Ovis aries: one gene and its partner. The main gene of each other region encodes a partner of the protein of the gene in region 2 in a complex. Links are inferred from orthologs where the notes say so. Each region holds a gene or a part of one and is shown on either strand. Other genes may lie near its edges.

Evidence for each region.
Region 1: POLR2E (region 2) and POLR1H share a complex: the UniProt entries of both Homo sapiens proteins name them as parts of the pol I pre-initiation complex. The link is inferred for Ovis aries from reciprocal best matches to the Homo sapiens genes POLR2E and POLR1H.

What each region holds. Positions count from the first base shown.
Region 1 is NC_056073.1:27,950,662-27,955,675, reverse strand, and holds POLR1H (DNA-directed RNA polymerase I subunit RPA12), read left to right. Parts: upstream 1-1,653; 5' UTR 1,654-1,713; intron 1,714-1,910; 5' UTR 1,911-1,929; coding exon 1,930-2,065; intron 2,066-2,303; coding exon 2,304-2,404; intron 2,405-2,825; coding exon 2,826-2,987; 3' UTR 2,988-4,778; coding exon of another isoform or gene 4,779-4,803; 3' UTR 4,804-5,003; downstream 5,004-5,014. UniProt on the Homo sapiens protein: Core component of RNA polymerase I (Pol I), a DNA-dependent RNA polymerase which synthesizes ribosomal RNA precursors using the four ribonucleoside triphosphates as substrates. Can mediate Pol I proofreading of the nascent RNA transcript.
Region 2 is NC_056058.1:41,257,154-41,261,891, reverse strand, and holds the start of POLR2E (DNA-directed RNA polymerases I, II, and III subunit RPABC1), read left to right. Parts: upstream 1-1,387; 5' UTR 1,388-1,452; coding exon 1,453-1,509; intron 1,510-2,951; coding exon 2,952-3,126; intron 3,127-3,935; coding exon 3,936-4,051; intron 4,052-4,397; coding exon 4,398-4,478; intron 4,479-4,738. UniProt on the Homo sapiens protein: DNA-dependent RNA polymerase catalyzes the transcription of DNA into RNA using the four ribonucleoside triphosphates as substrates.

The DNA.
Region 1 (5,014 bases), on a different chromosome or scaffold from region 2:
GGGTCGCAGAGTTGGACAGGACTGAGTGACTGAACTGATACTGAAAGGGAAAGTTGGACTAATCTCATTTCTATTTTCAAAGGAGACACACACAGAGAAGAGAGAATAAAAACTTGCCTACCATCATGGGCTCAGCAGACCTTTCCTTGTGAGACAAATTATTATGGGGCTTGTCACTTTCTAGTAGCTTGCTCAGAGTTTTAACCCTCTCACTAATTTGTGTGTTTCCATTATTTCAGAGAGTAGCGGATCAAAACTTCTCTAGGAGAGACCACAGCTTGTTCTCTTTCAAACAGGAGAAAATAGTGATGGCTCCGGGACTTTCATACATAAACAGCTTAGCACAGCTATGAGGTTGAGAGGGGGTGGATGGACTGGGAGAGAACTAGGAAACTCGTCTTGAAGCTGTCCCTTCAGGACGACAAGATTCTACACTTTAGATTGTAGGTTCCAGATGAATTAAAACAGCAAAACTTTTAAGACACTTGTCCTCATGTTTTATAAAAGATCAGGGATATGTCAACTCTCCATCTAATGGATGCAATGATGATGTAGAGCTGGTTGGATGGGAGGCCGGGGACAAGGTGGAAAGGGGTCTGCAACTGAAAGCAAACCTCGACAGTCTTCGTCACAAGGCTGCTCCCTTGACTAATGCTAACCTCCCTCATCTGACGGGCATCTAAAGAGGAAGGAGTCCCAATCTCTTCTGTTCCACTACCTCCAAAGTCTTGAGCCCCTTCCTAAAGTGTCCTACTTCATCCCTGCTTCCTTTCGTTCCTAGTGACTAGGATTCCTCCTCCGCCTTCACCGTTTCCACTTCATGCCCGGTAAGAGGTCGACTCACCCCTTCCAAAGGCCCAGTTTAGTTCAGTCGCGTCCGACTCTTTGCGACCCCATGTACTGCAGCATGCCAGGCCTCCCTGTCCATCACCAACTCCCGGAGCTTGCTCAAACTCACGTCCATCGAGTGGGTGATGCCATCTAACCATCTCATCCTCTGTCCTCCCCTTCACCTCCTGCCTTCAATCTTTCCCAGCATCAGGGTCTTTTCAAATAAGTCAGTTCTTCGCATCAGATGGCCAGAGTATTGGAGTTTCAGCTTCAGCATCAGTCCTTCCAGTGAATATCCAGGACTGATTTCCTTTAGGCTTGACTGCTTTGATGTCCTTGCTGTCCAAGGAACTCTCAAGAGTCTTCTCCAATACCACGGTTCAAAAGCATCAATTCTTCGTCGCCAAGGGCCCAGCACTCGAGCCAGGCGGTGCTCTGCAGAGCGCCCTTGCTTGCATCGCGAGGTCCGAGGAGCGCTAGAACTGTAACTTCCAGAATGTTTCGCTTTGGTTTTTGTTTTTTTTAAAAGAACCAACTCAAAAAGAAAAAAAATAAAAATAAAAAAAAAAAAAGAACCAACTCAGGAACAGGGGAAGTTGTAGTTCCCAGAACTGGGTAGTGAGGGGAAAACAACCGGAGGCTCAGCTTCAATCACCTGCTTTCTTATCCAACATCACAAATCCAGCCTGAAAGTAGCGCTACAACCTTCCTTCAAAGGTTCCGCTCCCTCCGGGGATCAAGTTTGCGATTAATTATGACGTAACAGCCAATCGACAGGCCGGACGACAGGGCGCTCTAGCCCGCTTGCTCTCGCTAGTCCGCAGCGGCGTAGAGCCGGCGTTCTAGCTCGCGGAGTTGGCTTCCTCTTCTCGCCTGTCCCAGGTAAGCAAACCCCCAAGTCGAAGTACCGGACCCCGGTTTGGAATTCTGGATATGTGGGCTCCTTGGTCTTAGAGGCACAGGCATACGTGGGAGAAGGACTCGGGTTCTGTATGCTTAGGTCCAGGGACAGAATAGGAATGACCCTTCAGTGGGGAGGGAGCTACTCTCGTTTGTTAGCAATCTCCTCTTCTTCCCAGTCCTCGACCACCCTCCGTCATGGACCTCGCCGGCATCTGCTCCAGCTTTCAGTCGGACCTGGATTTCTGTCCAGATTGCGGCTCGGTCCTGCCTCTGCCCGGGGCTCAGGATGCGGTCGCCTGTACCCGCTGTGGCTTCTCCATCAATGTGCGAGGTAAGGGGCTTGTACGCAGCGACCCCGGCAGAGGGCCCAGCGTGAAAGGGTCAGTGGCTTGAGGACCTTAATATCGGTTGGATTGAAGAGGGGGACCCTGAAGCAGGAAATCAGGCACTTTTGGCCTTGGGTCGAAACCTGAAGGGAAGAATATAAGGCCTCCTGTCCTAACCGAGAGGGAGTTATGGGTGTCAGCACTCCTTACTGTCTCCACAACCAGTTCTTACTGTTTGCGCAGACTTTGAGGGGAAGGTTGTGAAAACCTCAGTTGTGTTTAACAAACTGGGGACAGCCATGCCTTTGTCGATGGAGGAAGGACCTGAGTTCCAGGGACCTGTGGTGAGTGAATGACATCCAGGACTGGCCCCATCAAAGGAGGGTGGGAAAGAAATGGAGGGGCGATTGCACAGATCTGGAGAGTTTTGTACCTAATTCCAAGAGGGAAGGGTGTGTGCTGTGCTGAGTCGTGTCTGACTCTTTGTGACCCCGTGGACTGTAGCCTGCCAGGCTCCTCTGTCCATGGAATTTTCCAGGTAAGAATACTGGAGCGGATTGCCATTTCCTCCTCCACGGGATCTTCCCGAGCCAGGGATGGAACCCGCGTCTCCAGCATTGGCAGGCGGATTCTTTACCACTGTGCCACGTGGGAAGTCCTTTAAGAGGGAAGAGGGGTCTTTAAAACATCAGAGTCTGGGGAGTGTGACAGCCTGATGTCTGTGACCGGAAAGGGAGATTATTAATCCCACCAGTTGCTTTCCAGGTTGACAGGCGCTGCTCTCGATGTGGGCACGAGGGAATGGCATACCACACCAGGCAGATGCGATCAGCCGATGAAGGGCAGACTGTCTTCTACACCTGTACCAACTGCAAGTGCGTATCCTTTTCCTCCTCTCTGCCCTTTCTCAATCTGTTTGCGACCTAAACAAATCCAGTGACTTACTTTTTGTACTGAATAAACAGTTGTGTTCTTTGGTCCGATCCCTCTCTTCTGTACAGTTGAAGTAATAGGGAAACTTGAGGTCGTTTTTTATTTTAGAAAATTACACTTTTCTTATCCTTTTTATACTCGGTGAATTAAACCTTTTAAGATATTTAAAAGGAAAGAAAAAAAATACAGAAAGCTAATGTTGCTTGATGATCTGGGTGTTACTGTTGCATCTTCCACTGTACTCAAGGTAGTTTTACTTCGATGAGAATTAGTCATGGGTGCTTTAAAGAACATGATTCTCTGAATAGTTTTGAGAACTCCCCTTTGTCTTTGGGGTTCTGTGGTTTCACTACAGTGTATCTGGATGTGGCTTTCTTTTGTTTATCATGTGTAGGATTTGCTGGGCTTTCTGAAAGTAAAGATTGATTTTTTTTTCTTTTCCGTCAACCTTGGAAAATTATCTGCCATGTCTCATTGAATATTGCCTTTACCTATGTTCTCACATTCTGGAGTTCTAATTAGTTGCTTATTAGACTTTACCCACTACTCCATTTCTCTCACCCTTTCATAATTTTCCATCTATTTTCTCTTTATATTGCTTCTGGGTAAATTCTTCTGGTCTTTCTTCCGCTTCACTAATTCTGTCTTCAGTTTATGTCAGTTATTGTTACTTAAAAAAATTTTTTTTTTTGAGTTCTGCTTATTTTTCAAGTCTCATTTTTAATAATTCATGATTCTTTAATCCTATATTATTTGTAATTCTTACATATATTTAAATATATTAAGCCTGATATTTATATTGTGTCTCCTAATTCTCATACCCACAGTTTTTGTGGATCTGATGCTGCCGTTATTCCTGCAGACTTTCTCATCGTGCTTTTTTTGTTGTATAATTTTTTAATATAAGCTCAGATTTTTTAGAATTTGGAAAACTATATTCTTAGCATGTGTGTTTCCTCTTCAGGTGCCTTGAAGCACTACCAAGCTGGAATGACTTTAAATAAATTCTCAGCTTCATGTGTTTTGTAGCAAATAGGTAGTATGGATTTGTGCTGCGAATCTAATGTAAGGCCAGCTTTTGGTTAGAAATTCTAGAGGGAAATTTTTTTCTCTCTCTACCTAGTGAGACTGTCAAATTCCTCTTCTGCAGAGTTGGATTATTTTTCTTGTTCACTTCTATACAGGTGTAGCCCTTTGGAGGTTTCAAACTTACTCTGAGTATCTCCTCTCAGACATTGTAGGCTTGTCTCTGGTTCACTCATGTGGCTCTCAAAACAGCAAGGGCACCAGTGTACCAGGGGCTTCAGTTTTAATGTACCTGTCTAGATTCCTGGTTTTGTATACTTTCACTCACTGTGAAGATTGCCTTTACTTTCTTGCCTTCTCATCAATGGATTAAAAATATAGTTAGAAATGCCTTTGGGGAGTATTTCTCAGTCAGGCTGAGAAATTGTTTAATTTAATTTAAACAACTAATTTAAGAAAATTAAAAATTTTTCTTTTTTTTTAATGACCAGAAGTTTTTCATTTTTATGAGGTCTAGTTTATCCTTTTTTCTTTTATGGCTAGTGCTCTGTTTTCCTAAGAAATCAACATAATTCATAATTTGCAAGATACAGTTTCAATCCCAGCATTTTTAATTGTCTTGAATTTGCGTAGGGTTGTTTAGGGGAGCTAGTCCTCTATGGTCATAAATGAAAGTCCTTCCTCAATTATTTCTTTCATCTTACACTGCTAGTACCTCTTCCTTTGGTCAAATATAACAAGTCTTTTCTTTCTCTGTAGGTTCCAAGAAAAGGAAGATTCTTGATTTTTTTTCTGAGCGACTCAACAATCCTTTTCTTACTTGGAAGCTGGAGGATATTGGGTTCTTAGGTCCTTTGTCCATCTCCCAATTACAGTGCTCTGCTCGCGGAGGAAAAGCAGATCGTCGTGTGTCGATTATCATTGTCCCCAGAGTACTCCTACCCTCATTGAGCTTCCTTATTAAAGTTATATTTTTCTATAAGAGCCAGACATAT
Region 2 (4,738 bases):
TGCCGTTTCCTCCCCTCCTCCCAGCTTCAGGGCTCAGGCCTGACTTCTGATGCGCTCTGTGACCTCATCAGCCTCTCAACTCCAGTCTGCACTGTGCGCCCACAACATCCACATCAGCCTCCACTCCAAGCTCATCCTGAGTTCCAGGCTTGTGCCCTACTGTCCCCTGGATGCTCCCCGTAGGGTCCCCCAGGAGTCCCAAGCTCACCATATCCAAGATCTGCTCCAGATCTGCCTTCTATGCCTCCCCACCGAGGTCTGTTCTTCCTCCTCTGCTTGTCTCTGTGTCTTTCCACATCCTGTCCACCTACAGATCCTATGAGCGCTGCCTTCTGGACACCCTAGACCTGCCCACAGCTCATCCTTCACTTGAGGCCTCATCTATCTCTGGCCGGGACGGTCCTCCCTAGCCCACTCCTTGGTCTCCCTGTTTCTGCCCTGTGGAGATGCTGAAAATGGCTGCAAGCACAAACTTCTCAAACCCAACCAGCAAGGGCTCCCAAGATCTGCCCCACCTGACCCTCTGACCCACAGGCCTCCTTGCTGCCAACATGCTAGGCCTCAGGGCCTTTGCACATGCTGTACCCTCTACCTGATACACTTTCCTCGACATCCCCAGGGCTTCTACCCTCTCACCCTTTGGATTTTTGTTGGAACCTTCCATGACCACATTTGAGACTTCTCTATTTTTTCTTCCACAGCACTGTCTCCTTCTAACACGCTGTATCATTTACTTATGTCCGCTGTTTCTGTCCTGTCTCTCCCTGGCATGTAAGGATGCTTGGTCTGTTTTGTTCCCCGTCTCTTTGGCTCCTCATTAAATACTGAATCATTGAATTAATATATTACTGAATGAGAAGTTACTGACACAAGTAAGCTGGGCTGAGCAGGCCTGAACAAACCTCCTGAACGAACTCGGAGGGGAAGGGCCGATGCAGAGGTTGTGCACTCTTGGGGTATCCAGGCAGGGGCTGGGCTGGGGCTCAGCTGCATTTTGTAAGCACCAGGAACTATACCAAGCTCCTCCCAAGTACGAGCATCTCTTTAGATCCTCTAAAATGGGGGACACTTTATTCTTTTCATTATACAAAACGGAAAACCGAGGCTCCGCTCACACTTCCTCAATCTCTCCAGATTCTAAACACTGTCCAGACTGACGTTGAGCAAAAACCACCACTCCCGAGAAGCCGTGCCGTCAAAGCATCGCGAGAACTTCCGAGGGGCGGGTGGGCGGTGCTGTTTGAAAGCTGCTCGCGCAACCAACCGCCGCTTTAGGAAGGCTAGGGCTGCCCTTGGCAGTGCCGCTCCCGAAGGTCGCTGTATTCAGGCGTTCGCCTGCGACAGCCCTGCACGGGTAGACGACGTGTTGGGGGCCTGATCAGGACTCGGAGTAGGCACTGTGGGCCCTGGTCGTGCTGGTCGCAGGCGCAGTGTGTGAGAGCGGCGGGAATCATGGACGATGAGGAGGAGACATACCGGCTGTGGAAGATCCGCAAGACCATCATGCAGGTGAGCCGCGCGGAGGCAGCCCTCCTTGGAGAACGCGGTGAGGGCGTGCCTGGCTGCGCCAGACGAACTGGGCACGTGGCGGCCGAGGCGTGAACGGCGGGTGCTAGGGCCCGTTGATGAGGACGAGCCTCTTCACCCGCGGCGGCGCGGCTGGAGCGGAGGAGTCGAGCCCCAGAGCCCCCAGAGAAGGGGGTCAGGATCTCGCTCGAGCTGGAGAGAGGGAAGGCGGGAGACGCTGGGCCGCCTTGTATTTGTGTTTCTGGAGGGTTGTGGTGTTACAGCCCCTGATCCTTGAAGTTCTTAATCAGTAAGAATTGATAACAGGCCAGACTAGAAGGTCAGGCAAGGCTTTGTTGGAGCTTATGCTGCAGCAGGAGGGAGCGAAAACAAGCAACAGGCGCCCTTCTTAGGTCGTCTTGAATGGGATAATGGGATGAGGGTGGGCGCGGGTCCAGGGGTCATGCCAGAGTGATGATTCGGGTGGTCTGCCTACCCTCTGGGTGGTGCTGTGTGCAGGGATCAGGCCTGGCACCCAGCTTTTGCTCCGGCACCTCAGAAGTGGAGGTTTTGACTTTCTGTTGTTGTCTATCATTTGCTCGAGCTGGGCAATTGCACGGTTATTTTTAGTCCCGCATGGTTTCTGGGTATTCTGTTGCTGGAGAAGATGTTTGTCCAAGTGCAGGCGCTGCCGCAAAGGGTCCCAGCTCCCAGCCTGTCTTATCAGCACCACCGTAAGTGCATAACGCAGAATCCCGGGTTCTTGACGGTGGAAGGAACCCTGGTGGGCTGGTCTGACTGCTGTCTGGTGGTTACTTAGATGCCTTGCCCACCAACTCAGTCTCAGTGTCACAGCAGTCACACCAGCTTTTTCTGTGTACCACATGCTTTAAGCCACCATGTGAGAGGGGTCCAGTGTGATGCCACAAAGACTTGGGGCCTTGATCAAGAGCACCCAGCCTCCTGGGAATTGTGCTGGAGCTAAGGCTGGGCTATGACCCAGCCTCTTCAACACTTGGCAGAGCTACTCAAGACAGGGCGGGAGCAGCTGCGCTTCTACCTGATGGTGTCGGGGCTGCGGGAGAGGAGACCCAGGTCTCTGAATGGAGACTCGGCGGGGGGTGGGGGATGTGGGCAGGGCTGGGTGGCAGCTCCAACCTTCCTTTGTCTGGGTCCTCACCTAGTCTGTGTGCTCACAGAGCCCTAGTTTCTGAGCAGGACCTTGAACTGCTGGGCCTCAGGCTTTTGCCTGGTTTCACAGCCAACACCCGCCCAGCCTGCTGTACCTGTCAGACCTACGCCCTGGGGCCTGACTCTGGACTCAACATCTCCGCTTGCATCCCAGGCCTTTCCCCAGTCTCCTCTGCGGTGGGTGAGGCCACCGGAGCTCTGGCTGCTGTCCTATCTCCACTGTGCGATCGATCACCTGCCCTTTCTCTCTGCAGCTGTGCCATGACCGTGGTTACCTGGTGACCCAGGACGAGCTGGACCAGACTCTGGAGGAGTTCAAGGCCCAGTTTGGGGACAAGCCCAGTGAAGGGCGGCCAAGGCGCACGGACCTCACGGTGCTGGTGGCCCACAACGACGACCCTACTGACCAGATGTTCGTCTTCTTCCCAGGTGAGGGCTGCTCAGGGCCAGCTCACAGCAGCCACCTGCTGTGCGCCCCAGAGTCATGCACCCACCCTTATCCTTCTGTCCCCTGCCCTCCTTGCTCTGGGAACCCCTTCTCCAGCTTCCCTCTTCTCGATCACCCATCCATTCTCTCTGGGCCTAAAGATCACATTTCCAAATACAGTTTCATTCTGAGATTCCAGGGCCAGGACCCCAACAGAGGGACTTTGAGGGCAGAGTGGGTTAGTGGAATGGGAAGTGAGAGCAGCTGGAAGGGGCGGACATACTGCACACAGACCCTGGGGCTGCCCTAGGTGCTGACCTGCTGGGCTCCTAGGGTCCGGCTGTTCTGTGGCAGGCCCTGCATGCTGCCAAGACCATGAGGACCCCCAGTGCTACGGCATGGAGATGGGTGGTCTGTGTCTGGCAGGACCATACTCTCTGGGTCAGCTCACCTCAGCTTACCTCTGAGAACCCCAGCCCTTGTCTCATGAACTCCAAGACTAAACCAAATCCAGGGCTTCCCAAACCTCAGAGCCACTGAGCCCTGGCCAAGCCCAGACTCCCAGACCCCACTTCCAGAAGAGGTCCCTGAGGTCCAGGGCACCCAGGGCACTTGTCAGCTCCCATGTGACCTGGAGGCAGCCAGCTCCCCCATTCTGGGAACCAGCTGCCCAGTTCTTGCTTTGCACACGGGGAGGCTGAGGCCCAAGAGTGGGAGTGGCACCGCAGTGCCTTGGCAGAGCCAGGCTAGAACCTGGGTGCCCGATGGGAAGGGGCCCTGCAGCACTGATCAGCCTGTGCTCTGCCTGCAGAGGAGCCCAAGGTGGGCATCAAGACCATCAAGGTGTACTGTCAGCGCATGCAGGAGGAGAACATCACACGTGCCCTCATTGTGGTGCAGCAGGGCATGACGCCCTCTGCCAAGCAGGTAAGCCTGCCCCGCCAGGGTGGGATGGAGCCTGGCCAGCACCTCTGTCCCCAGGCCCGGGGACCGGCTGCCACACTAGCTCCCAGCCACCCTGGGAGCATCCTGACAGGTACTTACCTTTCTTGATGTGAGATGAAGGCCTTATTACTGCTGAGAGCCTGGGCGGAGTTGGGTGGGGTTTCCCAATTTATGATGCGCGATGTCTTTCTGAGCCACAAAGGTAAACCCTGCTCCACTTCCAGGGTGCTAGCTGCCCACGAGGAGGAGCTGGGTTGGGGCAGGCCTCGGGGCCACAGAGGGGCGGGCGGCTGCCCCTGCTGCACTTGAGGGTTGACGTCTCTTCCAGTCCCTGGTTGACATGGCACCCAAGTACATCTTGGAGCAGTTTCTGCAGCAGGAGCTGCTTATCAACATCACAGAGCACGAGGTAGGGGTGCGGGGGCTCGGGTGGGATGAGACTGGAGACCCAGCCCCCAGCCCCTCACCTTTTTAGGAACAGCAGACGTCCGGGGGCCCCCTAGTGTGGAAAGAAGGTAGGGCGATCCAGCCTTCAGTCAGGAGTTGGGGGGCGGGGTGCAGTTTCTATCTTCCCTGCAGCCCTGGCTCCCAGGATTGTGCCCTGTGGCCCATCTGCAGGGTGGGGGTGTAGGCTCCAGACACGCACCCCCTCCCTCCCAGTGTGGAGTT